Callithrix jacchus: one gene and its partners. The protein of the gene in region 1 interacts with the protein of each later gene in a pairwise test. Links are inferred from orthologs where the notes say so. Each region holds a gene or a part of one and is shown on either strand. Other genes may lie near its edges.

Region 1 (4,119 bases):
TGGTTAGGAGTTCGGCTGGGTCGTGGGATGCTTGTTTTCCTGGTTACTGGATATGCCATGGGCTTTATATCTTGGGTTGTCCTGTGGTAACTGAAGCCACTGTTGCGGTGGAAAATGATGGCAGTTTGAATGAGATAATTTAGAGTGACCTGTGGAAATCTGAGGCTGTGTCCTTAACGTACAAGACCTTGTATATGTGGCACTGTTGTATGGCACATATCTCTTTAGTTCCCTTCAACTGAAATGACAAATAGGTGAGAAACTAAATCGTAATTTGATGGCCTAATATTAAAAAAAATTAATTGGACAAAAATGCTACATAAGGAACAATTCAGAAGAATTGCTGATTATTTCAAAACTATTATCTGAATAGTATTTATATGTAGCTAAAGAAAGCACTGCGATCCCAGAACTTTCCATCCAATTTCCAAAAACCAAACCTTATATATAATGTAAAATGACACCCAAAATTCTAAATCCAGTCTAATTCAGTAGTATATAGCTTATTCCCAGTGATTTCTCACATTTGCAAGCCCGTTGCACGTTGGTTTCATGTGTCACCAAAACCTTTGTATTACTCTTATAAAACCACATCACTTTGTATAAAAAGTGACTGGAAGAATTTAATATTGTAAAACTGCACGTGCCTCGCGTGACCTGAGCAGAAAACTCCTGGTTTGGGATTTTCTCACAGGCGTGCCTAAACTGACCTCTACTCCTAGCAGGTAAATTGCTAGAAGAAGCAAGTGTCAGCCCAAAGAAAACCCCTGTTGTGTGCTTTTTTTTTTCTCTTTAAACTGATCGCTTTTTAGGTGGAGTTCCCGCTGCATTCTCTAGACCAAAGTCCTTGCTTGCCACCAGATTACCATCTTTTTCACCAATTTGCCACCTCCCTACCCTTCTCCTTTCCAAAAGCCCTCACTGGAAAGAACTTTCTCTCTTGACCCCCCTATTCCATCTAGTTCCAAACGCTCCCAGAGCCTCCCACCTCCGTCGGCTTCCCCTCTCCCGCCTAGAATCCAGGTTCCCAAACCACTTAAGAGGAAATTCACACCCCTCGCCCCCTTCCCGGGCGTCCGGAGGAGACGCAGGGGTGGGGGTGCGGGGGGAGCAGGGTTTTCTGGGGTCTCCTGAGTCTTTCTCGCGCACCCTCAGGAGGTGTTGCAGGGGGAGAGGAGCGCGGGTGGGTGGGACCGGGCCGGGTGGGGGAGGGGTGAGGGCGAGGAGGAGGAGGAGGCGGCGGCGGCGGAGGAGTGGTGTGTGTGCGAGCGTGTGTGGCTGGGGGAAGCCATTGCCTGTTTAATAGTTGCTGTTGCTGCACTTCCGCTTCTCTCCCAGCGAGAGAGAGACACGAGTGGCCAGGCCCAGCCGCAGCCGCAGCAGCAGCCGCCGCGGCGGCACGGAGGAGCCAGACACAAAGAGAGGTACGGGGATCCCCCCAGCGGCCCGCCGCCCCCCGGCCGCGCCGCCGGCCTCGGGGACACCCCTCGCCGCCGTCCCCGACCCGCACCGCCCCGGCCGCCGGGGCGCCGGACACGGGGCCGGGGGAGGGGTGGTGGCGGAGAGGGGCTGGGGAGCCCCAGGGGTCCCGGGCCCGCCCGCGGGGGATGGGCAGGGACCCCGGGCCGCGTGGGTTGCGGGGCCGCCCGCGTCGGGGCTGGGGGTCATTGTGGCTCGAACTGTCAGCGCTGCCCCAGGAGCCCCCCCACTGGCCGCCGAGGGGGCCGGGAGCGGGGGTGGGGGGGAGTTGGGGGAGCCCTGTTTTCCCCAGGGGCGCGGGCTCCTGGGGATTTACCCCTCCGGGGCGGAAGGGCTCATTGTTATTTCTTCGCTGCGGAGGCCGAGCCCCCCCCACCCCACGCCGCAGCCCCTATCCCCCTCCACGAGTGGCGAACGGGCGTGTGCTCCGGACCCCCGCCCGGCTGCGCAGCCCTGAGCCGGGCGGCCCAGAGGCAGGCCGCCCGGGAGGGGCGTCGGGGCGCGGCGCGGGGGGGGGGGGGCTCGGGCCTCGTCGCCCCTGCCCCCCGCCGGCCTCTCCCTTCCCCCACCCGGGCACCCGTTCCCCGCCTCCGTCCCCCTGTTTCGGCTTCCTCTCTTACTCCTTCCCGCCCCTCCTCTCTTCCCGACCTCGCCAAACTCCGTTCGTGGCCCCACAGTCTCACCCGGGCCACCGGTCCCCCACGACCCCCGGAAAGCGTACAAAAACAGCCCCGAGGCCGGCCGGCCGCCGGGACCTTCCCTCCCTGCCCCGCTGCGGCGCCCCGCGCCCCCACCCTGCCCTTCTTCGCCTCCTGGTTACTCCCTCCCTGCCCTGCGGAGAGCCCCGGGGGGTGAGGGAGGGGCTGCTCTCCGAGCTCCAGACCGTTTTCCCACCGCGTTCCCTACTTGGGGCCAAAAATAAACAAACAAGCCGCGTCCGATTTGCAAAAGCCTTAATGGGCCTGCAGACTTTGAAAAGCGAGTGGAGGGCGGTGGGCGGCCGCGTGCGCCCCTGGTCAATGCCCTCCTGACAGCACCCGAGTTCCTTATTTACACTGGCTGCATGGTTTGTGTGTTTCTGTTTTGTTTCCCTCCCCCTGCAGGGGCTGTTTGCGGGGTGGGGTGGGGGGTTCGATATGTCGGATGACGATTCGAGGGCCAGCACCAGCTCCTCCTCATCTTCATCTTCCAACCAGCAAACCGAGAAAGAAACAAACACCCCCAAGAAGAAGGAGAGTAAAGTCAGCATGAGCAAAAACTCCAAACTCCTCTCCACCAGCGCCAAGAGGTACCGTACTCTTTTTTCCACAGGCTTCCTATTTTCCGAACTGCCTCTTGCTGCATTTGGTCTGCCTCCCAACGAGGATAGCTTAAACGCTCCTCACGGTTTGTGTGTTCTTAAAAATGAAAGAAGGGCCTTGGAAACCCTAATTATTTTCTCTATTGCTGCTTCTGTTTTTTAAAATCATTGCCCACATGCAGCTGTTGCGGCTTGGCTCTCGCTTTTCTCGCCGAAGTTTGTAACAATCCTCATCTACTTTTATTAGCGAGCCCCAAATCTGATTTCAGATTCCTTGTCCCACTTAATGGTTAATCTGTGACCTTCCCCAAGGCCATCATCCTGTTTCTTAATTACTAATAACCTGCTCAGACAACTGCATCGAAATGGATTCTATGACCATTTTACCTTCTTTTCACCTGTTGCATGGATGATCTTTTTGGAATAGAGCTTTCTCCACAAATTGTAAAAGGAATAAGAAACTCATATGAGCAGGTACAAAATTTCGTAGGTGAAGACAGATATTCTCTGATGGAATTTAAAGAGATTTTTCTGAGAGTTGAGACGAATGAATCAGTAAGTGATGTAAAATGGTTATTGTAGGTTATTTTTGTGATTCTCTTTGAGAACTTCAGTTTACCAAATTTCAGGGAGACTTTTTTTTCATGCTATTTGCTGTCCTCATGCTGTAAAAATGCTACTTTGCCTTATTTTTTTCCAATTTAAGCTGTGTCTCTTTTTCTTTATTCTTTTCCTCTTACAGCTCTTGGAGGTAGCTACTTTTTACACCTGCCATTCTTCAGTAATATCCTCTGATCCCCATGACACTTAAAATAATCTTTAGTAGATTCCTAGGAACTCCGAGACACCTTTTTAGAAATCCTTCTGCTCTCAGAGTTAGACAGTTAAAAAGGTGGCAAAACGGGAACATAGTAGGGAGTCCGAATGGTGGGTTAGGTAGAGAAACCCTTAAAAATTTTTAATGTAAAGTGGAACATGAGACTTTAGATCTGTCCACTGAGTAGTGAGCCAGGAAGTCAGGGTTTGAGGGTTTGTTCTGTCATTCTGCCTGACTTGTAATTTGAAAATTTGGCAGTGTTTTGGTGACCTAACCATGGGCTGATGGAGTGACTTTTAAAAAATAGTGTGGAGGTCTTAGGTGCCTCTGCAAGATTGTTCTCATTTTTATAGGTTTGGTTTGATCGTAAATCTTCCCAGGAGGCCTAACTGACCCTCACTGATTAGCCCTGTTTGGTTCTCCTGGAACCTGGCATCCACCCTGCCCACTTGGGATGGGCCTTTTCGCAGCACTGCCCTCCACCTCAAGCCTCTAGGCTCCCTGATCCTCATTTAGCTTTTGG
Region 2 (4,183 bases), on another chromosome or scaffold:
TCAGGGGAAAAGAAAGGAAGAAAAAACGAAGAGGGAATAATAGAGTTCAAGTGGTTTAACTCTTACTAGATGGTACGCTAGAAACTAATAATATTTGTTGTTTACTAAGAGCCCGGCACTGTACTAAGTGATTTAATGTGACAACATATTTAATCCTCAAACTCCATCAATCAGTTGCTGTTCTTATCCCCATTCTAGAGATGAGGAATTTGAGACATAGAGAAGTTAAGTAATTTATCTATAATTCTAAGGCTAGAAAGCAGTGGAGATGGAATTTGCACCCAAGTAATCCAACTTCAGAGTTTATACTCCATAAGAAGTATGAGGGAGTCAGTGCCTTAGAAATACAAACTGGTAGAAATACATCTCTTCTTGACCCATTTTCCACCCGGGTTGGAGGTACCAAATCCCACCCAAAAGGTATCCCTCTTTGTGCAACACCTGAGCACTGTATTTTCTTCGACCCTTGTACACCCTTCCAAAAGAGCCTTCTCCAATCATCTCCAATACGTGGTACTTTTCCATGACAGAGGTTTCAGGATCTCTTAGAAGGAAAAACGTAGAGATGGTGGTAAAGAGCTATAGATCCAGGGACAGTTCCACAACATCTGGGAGGCCTAGTTCGGGCATGAGAAAGAAAAAATGTTAGCCACCTTGCCTTTTCCTCTTTTTCACAATAACGTAAGCCTCAAAAAAACATGGGAGGGTAGAATGGATGGAAAGATGATGAGATCTTGGAACAAACAGTGCGTCTCTTTGTAGTTCCTCCTGACTTTCAGCCTCCTGGCCCCAACCCAGCCCCACACCCACCTGACACCTGGTCTCCCTTCTCCCTCCACCCAGCTCGCCCACTCAACCCTGCTCTCTCAACCTAGCCTTTGCCCACTCAACCCTGTTCCTTCGAGTCTCCCCCAAGTTCCTGCCACTCCCAGCCTCCTCAGCACCCGCTCTCAGACCCCCTGGCCCGTGCGCTTCACAGGCCAGAGTCCCTCTCTCACCCCCAGCCTAGGAGCGTCCAAGCTCCTCAGACCGAGGGACAGATTCCCTGGCCTTTAGCCCCATTTATTCTGACTGCCTGAGTACTTTGCCTGACTTATAATTCTTCTCCACCCCCCCTCTCCCACCGATCTCTTTTGGCTCACTTTCTTAAATTTTACTCGCTAGAACCGATGAGAAGTTCAAAGGACAAAGGCGCTCAGAGGTGTGGGAGGGACAACGGATAGCACAAGGGCACTTCCTGGCATACTTCCGAACTGCCTCAAGGCCATCAGGCCCCGCTATGGACCCGGAATCTACGGTTGCCTAGAAACGACGCTAGCTGCCCACCTCTCTTAGTTTTCCGCCTTCGACTTCCCTAAGGGCATTTCCGGTTCCGGCTGCGGGCCGGAGAAGATATGGCGGCGTCAGCGTCTGCAGCTGCAGGGGAGGAGGACTGGTAACTTTGGGGGCATGGGCTTTGGCTGATGGCCTGGATTTAGTCCAGAGGCCTAGCGGCTGTCGCCGACAGTCTGTACAGCGGGCGTGTCGGGTGAAGCGAGGGATGAGGGATGGCAGAGATGCTGACATCTCCTCTGGGAGAGCTTCTGGACTGGGGAAGGGGAGGGTGGAGGGGCGCTGATCTGAGTGAGTGAAGACCCGGTCTGCGCCCGCCGGGCCAGTTCGGGCTTCTCCTTATCCGGTGCGATCCCCTTTCCTCCAGCCTCACACCATCCCTTTCTCTCCTCTTGAAATGAATTTTCTCAGGGGCTTTGGGGGAAGCCTGCTCGTCAGACCTCACCATCTCCCCTTCACCTTCTCGGAACCACTGCCCTCGAGCTCCGGTCCCCCTTTCCCCTTGGATCAGCCTTTTTCTGCCGACGCTTCCCTCAACCTTCTCTCTCCCAGACAGCACTAGTGAGGACGATTGTCTGAATAAAGCTTTACACCTCACATAAAGTCCCTCTAGTCCTTCTCTCAAGCATTCTTAACAAAAGACTGGAACATGGAAGGACTCTGGGATTTGAAAGTAGGGTAAATGTGGGTTAACTCTGTATTTTATTAGCTGTGTGATGCTAACCAGTCCACCTAGCATCTGTGAGTCAGTGTCCTCAGCTGTAAAAAAGTGGGTGTGGCATCTACCTCAGAATAGTTGAGAAGACCAAGATGGATTTGTAACATACTTGTCTGCTTTTTGTTTTTTGGGTTTGTTTGCTTGCTTTTTTTTTTAAATGTATTTATTTATTTTTGAGACAGGGTCTCACTCTCGCCCATACTAGTGTGCAGTGGTGCAGTTATTGCTCACTGCAGCCTTGACCTCCCCAGGCTCAGGTGATCCTCCTGCCTCAGCCTGCCGAGTAGCGAGACCACAGGTGCACGTCACCGTGGCCGGCTAATTTTTGTATTTTTTGTAGAGACAGAGTTTTGCCATGTTGGCTTGGCTGATCTTGAACCCCTGGGCTCAAGTGATCCTCCCACCTCAGTCTCCCAAGGTGCTGGAATTACAGGCGTGAGCCACCACGCCCAGCCTCCTTTTCATTAATAACTGAGATACAGGCACCTGGGAAGACTAAATGAGCCCCAAAGAAGTAAAGTAAGTTGCCAAAAGGTAGAAAATTATGACTAGAAATCCACATCTGTCTGGCTCCACACCTTAGGTTCTTTGTACTAGGACATTCTTCAGTGCCTGCCCCTCCCCCCACCATATTGCCACCACCTTACCACTATCCATCCCATCCAGGATCCACATAATTAACTAGGGTGGGCAAAGTATTGAAGGTCCACTTGACTGAGGCCACACCTCAGTGTTACATTGGTTCAGGGATCCCAGCTAGTACTGGCCTTTATTAAGACTATCTAGACTAGTGGTTTTTAAAGTGTTCAGGGAAACTTTTTTTTTTTTTAAGAGACAGAGTCTTACTTTGTCACCCAGGCTGGAGTAGTACAGTGGCGAGATCATGGCTAACTAAAGCCTTGACCTCTTGGGCTCCAGTGATTTTTCTGCCTCAGCCTCCCAAGTAGCTGGGACCACCGTGTCTAGCTAATTTATTATTTTTTGTAGAAACAGCATCTTGCTTTGTTGCCTAGGCTGGTCCTAGCCTCCCATCTCAGCCTAGCTCCTGGCCTCCCATCTCAGCCACCCAAAGTGCTGGGATAATTTATAGGCATGACCCGCACACTCACCTGTTTAGGGGGAACTTTTAAGATTCGAGGGAGACACCTTGAGCCATGGAGAGAGCAACAGTGAGTGCAGCAGCTTGTAGTACTGAGACTCCCACTCCCATATCAGTCAAAATAACACTGCTATCTGTGAGGTGTAAAGCTTTATATTTTATATTTTGAAGTTTCTGCCTAAGACTTAACAACACTGACATAGGTCCTGCTGGGGCAGCCTTACTCTTAGAATAAACAGGGAGTCGCGTAGGAAAGCAAAGTATGCATTTTTCCATATATCACCTGGGTAGAGCTGTAGACACAAACTCATCACTCAGCTTTAATTTCATTTCAATTGCTGTTCCTATGCTGAAGCATGTGTGTCCTCTGATTTACATCAGAACGATAGACCTAATCTCAACAGGCTGATCTAGATCAACTAGACAGCCAGGGTCATAAATACATCCAGAATACTCTAACTACCTCCCCCCCTCCCTCTTTCCTTTTAAGGGAGAAGGTTATATACGGACAGGAAAAAAAAGAGGACATAGCCTAGCTATTATAGCGCAGATATTATTAGGTACTTTATATAAACAAGTCACGTTTTATCTTCATAATGGCCCTAGAGAATAGGTGGTATTACCTATATGTGATAGACAGGATAACTTAAGCTTACGGAGAGGTCACTTCACAGATCACATAGCCAATAAGTGATTAGTACCTGTTACTAACTCTGAGGCTGCTGGCTCTTCATTACAACACAGCCTTTACACCACCCTAGACCTGTTGTGTTGAGGTTGGTATCTCCTTTAAGCAGGCTTGTGATGACTGGTGTTAACAGTGGGTATAGACAGTAGCCAAGGCACTGAGATCCACACTGGACAGTGATGTAGGGAAAGACTGGCGTAATATTGGTTAACGTTAATGCTAATAAATGGGTGCCATATTTCTAGACCAGAGAGTCAGCCATAAAGTGGAATGAAACTTAAACAGGGAGTCAGGAAACCTGGCTCTGGCCCCAGTTCCACCTATGTTAAGCCTTGGTTAGTCATTT
Region 3 (4,051 bases), on another chromosome or scaffold:
ATCTTTTGATAACTGCCAAATGCAAATTTTCACTTAAAAAAATATTAAAAACCAGTTTGTCCTTCATTTTCGCACTGATCACCAATTCTCAGAAACTGCCTTTTAAATTCTTCAATGTGGACTACAGCACCTTCAACTGTTAGATCAGTTGGGATCAAATCACTCTAAGGACAGTTCTTTTACTCAAAAGCAAATGATGTTTAAAAATGGCCCAATTTTAGGAAGGATGAATATATTTAATTAAGAAGCAAAAATTACTTTAAAACAAGATAGCTAATTATAAGTTAAGCGTTGTTCCATATTGAATGTGCAAAGCGTTGCTAAATAGGAAAAACTAAACAAGACACTCCTATTTTTAACTTATGCTGGAGTGAATGTTGATAGTACAAACATCAGAACAGATAAATTACTAAGTATTCCACTTTACTAAGTCTCTACTCAAAGTGCCTACGTTTATAAATATGAGTAAAAGAGGCACAAAAATATAAGGGATGGTGTTTTCGCTGCTCGTCTGTGCTCAGCTGTGAATTTCTCTAATATCATATACATAATGCAATGACATGGGAATGCTTATCTATCTATACTTCTATTTATTTTCATAAAGCAGGGAGGTGGTCCTGATTCATTTACTATTAGCGTTTTCAATAAAGCAGATCAGCATAAAACATAACTGAAGAGGCAGAATTCATTTTCCCCAAGACAATGCACCCTTCCTCCTCTTTCTATAGAAGAGCACATCATTTTGCTATTAAAAATGTCCATTTTTCACAACTGACTTTTCCTTAACTCTAGTCAATACCGCTCTTCAAAAGAACCAAGCCTACCTTGTAGGCAGAGTTGCAAAATTTTTATTTCCTTAAGAAACTCATCCATTTCTAAAATGCTGTCCAAATTAAGCAGGACTCACATTAACTGTTATTTGTATGTAACCAAACATTTATACAATTTGAAACTGAATAAACATAATAATGCTGTCATACATATTAAAAAATTAAATAATTGGAAGTACAGTAAGTCTAATTTTTTAAGTCTAAATTTTTAAGTGGGGTTTAAAAACAAACTTTTCATTAACGCATTCATCCAATTAAACTGACAAAGTGGGACTGACACAGATTTAAGGATTACAGCTTTATATTAAAAGTCGGCCCAAAGATGGTAACTCAATGTTCATTTGAGAACCTTTGACTTTTGGCCTTTAAAAGCTGTTCCTCACTGGAGTCCCCAGATATAACTACATTTAGCAACGTATCTCCTCCTGACTTCCTGGTACTAAAAGCCACAACCTCAAGGGCTGTTTCGTTGGTTGGTTGTAAAACAACATTTGCTCCAGTCACCTCACTGGAAAATGGACCTTCTCTATTGGGGAGCCGCAGAGGTGAGGGTGCTTACGATGTTTAAAAACAAAACCACGCTACGCAGTACCAGCACCGCAGGTGTTAACTGCCGGCTTTCTTCCCAGGATGGAGACGCGCGCCAGCCGGGCCGGGCAACAGCCCCCAGGCGCCCCGGCCGAAGGAGAAAAGGAGAAGGGTAAAAATAGCCGGCGGCCGCTGCCCACGTGCAGCCGCGGGAGGGCCGGGCGCAAACGCGCGGAGAAGGGGCCGTACCTCCAAACATGTGCGGCGAGAGGTGAGCTGGTAAGGAGCCGATCACCAGACGCGGCCCGCCGGGGCTCCCGCCTGCCGGCCGGTCCCTGCCGCCGCCGCCGTCCTCGGGGCTGCTGTGCACCGAGTCCTGCGAGCCGTACGGGCCGCTGCTGCTGTTCGGGATGCTGAAGGAGGACTGCGCCGCGCGAGCCCCCGACGCCACGCTCCCCACGGCTCCGCCAAGGGAGCGGCTGCGCGGGGCCGGGGCTACCGGGGCCGCCGAGGCCGCTGCGGCGCCGCCCGAGGCGCTGGGCTGGTGCGCGCCGGGCACCTGAGCCGGGAACCTCCCCGCGGCGGCGGCCCGAGCGCCGCCGCCGCCTCCGCCCGCGGTCCCATTGGCCCCTCCACTGCTGCTGGAAGGCAGATCCGAGCCCGAGTACGCGCGGGTGCGGCCGTTAGCAGCGGCCGGGCCGCTCTGCTTGGCGCCCATGTCCGCCCTGCCCCGGGCCGGGCCCGCGCGCAACGCCCGGAGCTCCGGGAGGGTGGGAGCGAGGGCAGAAGCGTGAGGGCAGGGCCGAGGCGCCGCGGCCTGCCCAGAGAGGTCCCCGTACGTCCAGGTCCGCCGCCCGGCGCCCCGAGGGGCAGTCGGAGCTCTGGGCGCTCTTCTCCAGGCGGTGGGCGAGGCCGGCGGCCTGACGCGGGCGCAGGAGACGAGGGGACGCGAAGAGGAAGGGAATCCGGCTGCGGGCACCGCTCGCAAGCTCCAGCGGGAAGAGGCGGCTCAGGTGGACGTGCGGCTGCCGCTGGTTTCGGTTCTGGTGCGCCACGACGGGCCGCTGCCGCTCTCTGCCGCCGCGCTCGGCGCCCCGGGCCTCGGCACCGCCTCCTCTCGGGCGGCCGCTGGTACCGCCGCCATCCTACGGCTCACACGGCAGCAGGCGGCTGAGTGGGAGGTGCCCGCCCAGACTTCGCCGAGGCCACCTTCCCTCCTCCCCCAGCCACCCAACTGTTATTAACGGAGAAAGAGGAAAAACGGGTGGCGCGCGAGGAGAGGACGAAGAATGGGAGGGAGGGGTGGCGCGCGCTTCCCGGCAACCGTCGCCTCGCTCCCCCGTGAAGGAGGGGCCGGGCTGGCGACAGGATCTGAGCTGCGAAGGTGGGGGTGCCAAAGAGGGGAGGAGGTTCCTGGCCTTCGCGCCGGAAGGCCGCGGAACGGCTCGGCGGCAGGGTGCGCCCGGCCCTTGTGTTTGGGTCGCGCTCGGTGACCCCGCCCCCGCCCCCTCGCGCCGCCTGGACGATTGGCTCCCGCCGGCCTGGCTCCGCCTCCCCCGGCCGCGGCCTGCCCGCCCCGGCTCCGCCTCGCCTAGGTACCGCGGTGCTGTAGGTGCCGCCACCCGCGGACTCGTTGATGGACAGGTCTCTCGCCCTGCCCTCCCAGCCAGGGCGCGCCCTCGCCTCCACCGCGGGGCCTACGCCGTTAGGAGGGACGGACCCGGTGCGCCAACCAGAAGGCGGCCCCTCCTCCCGCACGTGGCCGGGCGACGCTGGAGGAGCCAGTGTCCGCTGCAGCTTTTCCTGGCAGGGGGCGTGAATGGCTGTATCCTGTGCCCAGAGCCATTTGCTTTCGGTGGGTGTTGGTGTTACACACTGATTTAAAAAAAACACAGAAGCCACAAGCCAGCTTGATCTGAATTAGACTTACTCATGGAACACCAACCCGGGAGGAAGCGTGGAGTTGGAAGAAATCAGGATAATCCAGCTTGACCCTCCGTGGTAGGGCAAAAACCGTGGTGCCAGGAACGCTGCACCTGACTCATGAAACCTAGGATTTAGGCGCAACACCAAAGTATGTGTAATGAGCAAATTATTTTACCTTTTACCTTTTTGGGCTTTAGGTTTGTTTTTATTTTTGTTTTGAGACGGAGTCTCACTCAGTCACCCAGGCTAGAGTGCAGTAGTGCTGTGTCGACTCACTGCCACTGCAACTTCCGCCTCCCGGGTTCGAGCGATTCTCCTGCCTCAGCCTCCAGAGTAGCTCGGATTATAGGAACGTGCCACCACGCCTGGCTAATTTTTGTATTTTTAGTAGTGACGGGGTTTCACCATGTTGGCCAGGCTGGTCTCGAACTCCTGTCCTCAAGTGATCCACCCGCCTCCGCCTCCCAAAGTGTTGGGATTACAGGCATAAGCTACCGCACCCTGCTGACTTTAGGTTTCTTACCTAAACTGTTTGGTTAAATTCTAGGGTACCCGCATCTTTAAGATCCTATAATTTCTCTAAAATGGAGTGTAATAAAATTTTCCTCAGTGCATTCCTCGGTGTTCGTGTGGTCTCTCCGTGGCAGAATGGGGTCTGGATACCCAGGGAACAGCCTGCTCTGAGGCTCCCATTTTGAAAATGTCTAGTCTCTCTACATATCCTCACCTGAAAATAATAGCAAGTGGTGTTTTGTAAAACTACAGAA
Region 4 (4,187 bases), on another chromosome or scaffold:
AAAAAAAAGAGAAAAAATGAGGGCATCTCATTATGAAATTAAGTTTGTAGATTTAAAATTGCAGCTTATTTTCCTACCCCCTTCCTGTTTTAAGTATTTAAAATAGGTTATGACATACATTTTAATAATGTATTTTAAAAAATAATGTCTCCCTTGGCCGGGCGTGGTGGCTAACATCTGTAATCGAAGCACTTTGGAGGCCAAGGCGGGCAGATAACCTGAGGTCGGGAGTTCAAGATCAGCCTGACCAACACGGTGAAACCTCGTCTTTAAACAAACAAAAAATAATAATAACAATGCCTCCCTTCTCCTCTCCCCCATCCCAACACACCCACTAGAATGGGGACAGGGAATTTTGTCAATTTTGCTCACCATTGTGTATAGAAGAGTACCAGGCAGCCGGGAAGAGTTCACTATTTGCCGTTATGAATGGGTGAAGAACACGTGCAATAAGCAAAAATTACTGCTTCGAGCGCCACTTCCACCAGAGTTCTGGGAGGCAAAAGGGAGCTACCAGCACATCGACTGACTTTAGTGACTGAAGATTCCTGGGTGCTTACAGGGACTGCGGCTGCATTCATTGTTCTTGGGGATGTGCCGACGTGTGTAGGGTTTGTGTACTTGCACACAGCTGTGCTGGCAGGACACCGAACTAACATTAATTTGCACTGAGGTCCGAAAGTTCTCAAATTCACACCAACAGAAGCACGTTATTCTAACTACACAGGCCTTCCGTTCTCCTGTGCAATCTGCACAGAACAATTTAGGTTATTTCTTCACTGGAGATTTTACAGTGAGGAGGGATCAAGGGTGGTGGCCCCCAAATGCGCAAAGGACAGGGAAATGAATTAAACAGGCATCTGTTTGTTCCTTGTTCGCAAACAGACATCAAGTCTGTGTAAAATTCTCACTCTAGATCAAATCCCGCGCTCTGTGTACCCCCAACCTGCCTTCACCTCTATTCCGCTCCGTTCACATATTTCTGGTGGGCGGGGCAGAGAAGAAACATTCCGAACTCCCCGAAAAATTGTTTAGCCTCGTCCCAGTTTTGGAGTTGCACATTTCCACAACACCGAGGACACGGAATCATTAGCGAAGGCCGCCGACCAAATGACATTGAAGCAGCATACGCGCGCAGAGAAGGAAAGAAAACACGAAGAAAGGCAGCAGTCCAGCAACCACGTGAGGTGGGCGATCCCCTCCGCCCTCTGAGAGAGGACTTCAACTCCCGGCGTGCTCCTGGGAGGTTACCCTCCGAGGACTCCAACTCCCAGGATGCTGCGGGAGCGGCCGCCGCAACCTCCCACTCAGCCGCCCGCCGCTCCTCCCTCCCCTCCCCCGCCCCTCCTAGCCGATCGGCGTGCGCCTGCGCACGGGAGACCGGAGGAGTCTTACCCTAATGTAAGATGGTGGCCCGTCTGGCTGTGGAACCCACCGAAAGCTGAGAGTCTCTCTCTCAGCCGTAAAGGTCGGACTCGCTGAAGCAATCAGGCCCGGTGCTGAAGAGTTTTTTCCCCGACGCTCGTTCGGTGGTTTCTTGTGAGGACGCGGCAGCGCGTGGAGTCGGCTGAGGGAAAAGCGAGGCAAGGCAGGCGGGTGAGTCTATGCGGGGCTGGGCTTAGGGGAAACCCGGGGCTGACCGGCTACGAGAGAGCGGAGGCTTCTCTGGGACTGTACAGGCCGCACCCCCCTTTCTCCCCACCCCCCGCCTCATCTTCACCCTCCTCCTCCTCAGTCTTTTTCCTCCTCTTCCTCCTTCTCCCCTTTACGCCACAGCAGTCACCATCAGGAAAAGGGAGCGGGTCCGAAGGCAGCGCGGCGGCAAGCCGCGACTCTCCTTCGAGAATTTCTTTAATTGGGGAGCCGAGGCGTCTTTTGGTCTCCAGCTTTCCCCCCTACATTTTTATAGAGGCAGGATTCTTAGGTCTCAGTCCTCCCTGTTTCCCCAACCCCCTTTTCCCTGTCTGACGTCCTTCCCCACTGGCTCCCGTCTCTCTAGACCAAAGCCATCACTTCCACTCTGACCCGTGTTGCTGCTGCTGCTGCTCATTAATCCCGCTGCTCATTGCCCACTCGTCCTGATGCTTGTTTTTTGCTCCACTGCTACCACTCTGGAGTTAGCCTTTGCCCCCCTCTGGTGCTTGCAATCAGCCCACAGTGTATCTGCCACACTAGAGCTTCTTCCGATTCGCAGTCTTTCCTTCTACCACATCTGTCATCTTAAAGCTGCCCCTTAAGTATCTAGATTATGCTTCTGCTCCTGCTAACCCACCTGTTTCTCAGCCTTCTTGAGAATTGTCGGTTCCTTCCTTCTTTCTTGTACAGATCCTTTCAACATACACTTCCAGAAAAAGGGATGCCCCGTGGTGGCCCTTGAAAAGTAAAGGAAGTTGGAAAGTGAATGAAGTGAGGTAGGATACTATTAAACGTTATGAGTAAAGATCTTTTATTCAGGCTACTCAGGAGAGGAACGTTTTCGTTTTGCTTTCAGTGATCTAGTTGTCGCTTATTCGCTCCGTCGTGTTAGGACGTGGCTTCTTTCTTTCTTTCCTTCTTTTCATTTTGGACCGGTTTTACCATGCTACTAAGCGTTCTTTGGATTGCCTCTCCCCAGGACACTTGGTGTGGGCTCTGATTTATACCAATAAATATTAACCCAAGCATTTCAAAATAAGCGAAATCTGGCGCACATACAGAATTCATCTGTGAACTCCGCTAGCAAATATAAGTGGTATTTTGATTGCATGTGGGTTCTGTATTGAGACTTGATTTTTGACTGAGTTTTATTGATGTTCAGCTTAATCGATGACATTTTATTTATGATTGCAGTGGAAATTTCCTCTCTAGTTAATATCAGATTTAGTTATTATTTTTGGATTTGGGAAGTTCTGTTGACATTTGTAGGATGATAGTTATCTGAATAAATTGTCTTCTTTTGAAAATCCATTCGGTATGTATGCAAAAGAAAAATCGATATTTTTATGTAAACCTAAGTTCCTCGTATTTTTTCCAGAAAAGAAGGGCTGGGAAAAGAATGACAAAGCTGTGCACATACATGTGTTTGGTGGAACTCACTGTCATTGTTACCTACAGTAAAAAGCAGAAACTGGAAGCAAGAGGTAGCTTATGATGTCCTTGTTTTAGTGAAAGCAAAATTAAGATGTTTGGACTAATGGTGTAATGGGAAGAAGGAGCCCTTGCTATACTCAGACCACTGTGAGATAAAGAATTATCAGAAAAGCAACCAGGATTACATTGTTCAAATACATATATCTCAAGTTTAAACATGCTATACATGACATTGTGTTCTTAAGGTGTATGTAAAAATGTTTAAAATCAGTGACAGTCTCATGTGGCAGTCCATTATTGGGTTATTGTAATTTTTACGAAATTTTACCTGTAAAATTTGGAATCTTTACATTTGGCATAATGTTCACTTGATTGTGATAAATGATGTGTTTTGCCAAATGTAAACTAAGGTTAGAAAAGCTGTTTATGAAACTTCTTTTTTCTTTCAGCCACTTAACCCCCAATTTGGGGAAACTAAATAAATACTTGCTCTTAGAATTGCAAGCAATTTATATAGCAAACTTTGCCCTAAGTTACAACTTGAGGTTTTTTTGTTTTTTTTTTTTAAATCACTTACATTTAGTTTATCAGTAGGAGTGTATTTAATAGTTGATCTTTAACTATAAAAAATATACTTTTTGTTCTTGTAATACACTGGTGGAGAAGCTTTCCACTTTGAACAATCCGAACACAGGTTTAGAAACTCTTGGCAGTCATACTTGGCTGAATTGTAAGCAGTGGGTTCTAAGGGAGGGCTGTTTGGTAGAAGGGAGTAAGTGATTTTAATACATCTTTTCTCTTAAAACGGTATTTGTCTCACGAAATATTTTCTTAAGTAATTTTCTCCCCTCCATACTTTTTGCCTGCAGTTACTGAATTTTTTGTTTCAGCCCTCTGAAGTCAAAAGGAATTTACTTTTGGATCTTTAGTACGTTTAGAGAAGATATCTAAAATTCTTTAACTTTTTGATAGGAAATAGGGAGCTGAGATTTCTAAATATTTTGCGTGGTTTAAGTTTTTTGATCTTAACGTTATGAACATTGCAGCTACATACTTTCATGGTTTCTTTTGATAACTTGGAATACTTTCTTCCAGGTTCAATAGTTGAATTCTTCAGA

Evidence for each region. The genes of interacting proteins can lie anywhere in the genome.
Region 2: the proteins of UBE2E1 (region 1) and RNF25 interact in binary tests that used the Homo sapiens proteins (3 or more experiments, as listed by UniProt). The link is inferred for Callithrix jacchus from reciprocal best matches to the Homo sapiens genes UBE2E1 and RNF25.
Region 3: the proteins of UBE2E1 (region 1) and ZNRF2 interact in a two-hybrid assay, tested with the Homo sapiens proteins (2 studies listed by BioGRID). The link is inferred for Callithrix jacchus from reciprocal best matches to the Homo sapiens genes UBE2E1 and ZNRF2.
Region 4: the proteins of UBE2E1 (region 1) and CNOT4 interact in a two-hybrid assay, tested with the Homo sapiens proteins (2 studies listed by BioGRID). The link is inferred for Callithrix jacchus from reciprocal best matches to the Homo sapiens genes UBE2E1 and CNOT4.

The regions. Positions count from the first base shown.
Region 1 is NC_133518.1:62,152,689-62,156,807, forward strand, and holds the start of UBE2E1 (ubiquitin-conjugating enzyme E2 E1), read left to right. Parts: upstream 1-1,317; 5' UTR 1,318-1,424; intron 1,425-2,582; 5' UTR 2,583-2,615; coding exon 2,616-2,767; intron 2,768-4,119. UniProt on the Homo sapiens protein: Accepts ubiquitin from the E1 complex and catalyzes its covalent attachment to other proteins. Catalyzes the covalent attachment of ISG15 to other proteins. Mediates the selective degradation of short-lived and abnormal proteins.
Region 2 is NC_133507.1:140,408,433-140,412,615, reverse strand, and holds the start of RNF25 (E3 ubiquitin-protein ligase RNF25), read left to right. Parts: upstream 1-1,378; 5' UTR 1,379-1,394; coding exon 1,395-1,435; intron 1,436-4,183. Other genes in the region: STK36 (serine/threonine-protein kinase 36), read right to left, coding at 442-525. UniProt on the Homo sapiens protein: E3 ubiquitin-protein ligase that plays a key role in the RNF14-RNF25 translation quality control pathway, a pathway that takes place when a ribosome has stalled during translation, and which promotes ubiquitination and degradation of translation factors on stalled ribosomes.
Region 3 is NC_133512.1:27,932,133-27,936,183, forward strand, and holds the start of ZNRF2 (E3 ubiquitin-protein ligase ZNRF2), read right to left. Parts: upstream 2,806-4,051; 5' UTR 2,077-2,805; coding exon 1,608-2,076; intron 1-1,607. UniProt on the Homo sapiens protein: E3 ubiquitin-protein ligase that plays a role in the establishment and maintenance of neuronal transmission and plasticity. Ubiquitinates the Na(+)/K(+) ATPase alpha-1 subunit/ATP1A1 and thereby influences its endocytosis and/or degradation.
Region 4 is NC_133512.1:111,770,562-111,774,748, forward strand, and holds the start of CNOT4 (CCR4-NOT transcription complex subunit 4), read left to right. Parts: upstream 1-1,382; 5' UTR 1,383-1,596; intron 1,597-2,325; exon of another isoform or gene 2,326-2,411; intron 2,412-4,187. UniProt on the Homo sapiens protein: Has E3 ubiquitin ligase activity, promoting ubiquitination and degradation of target proteins. Involved in activation of the JAK/STAT pathway. Catalyzes ubiquitination of methylated RBM15.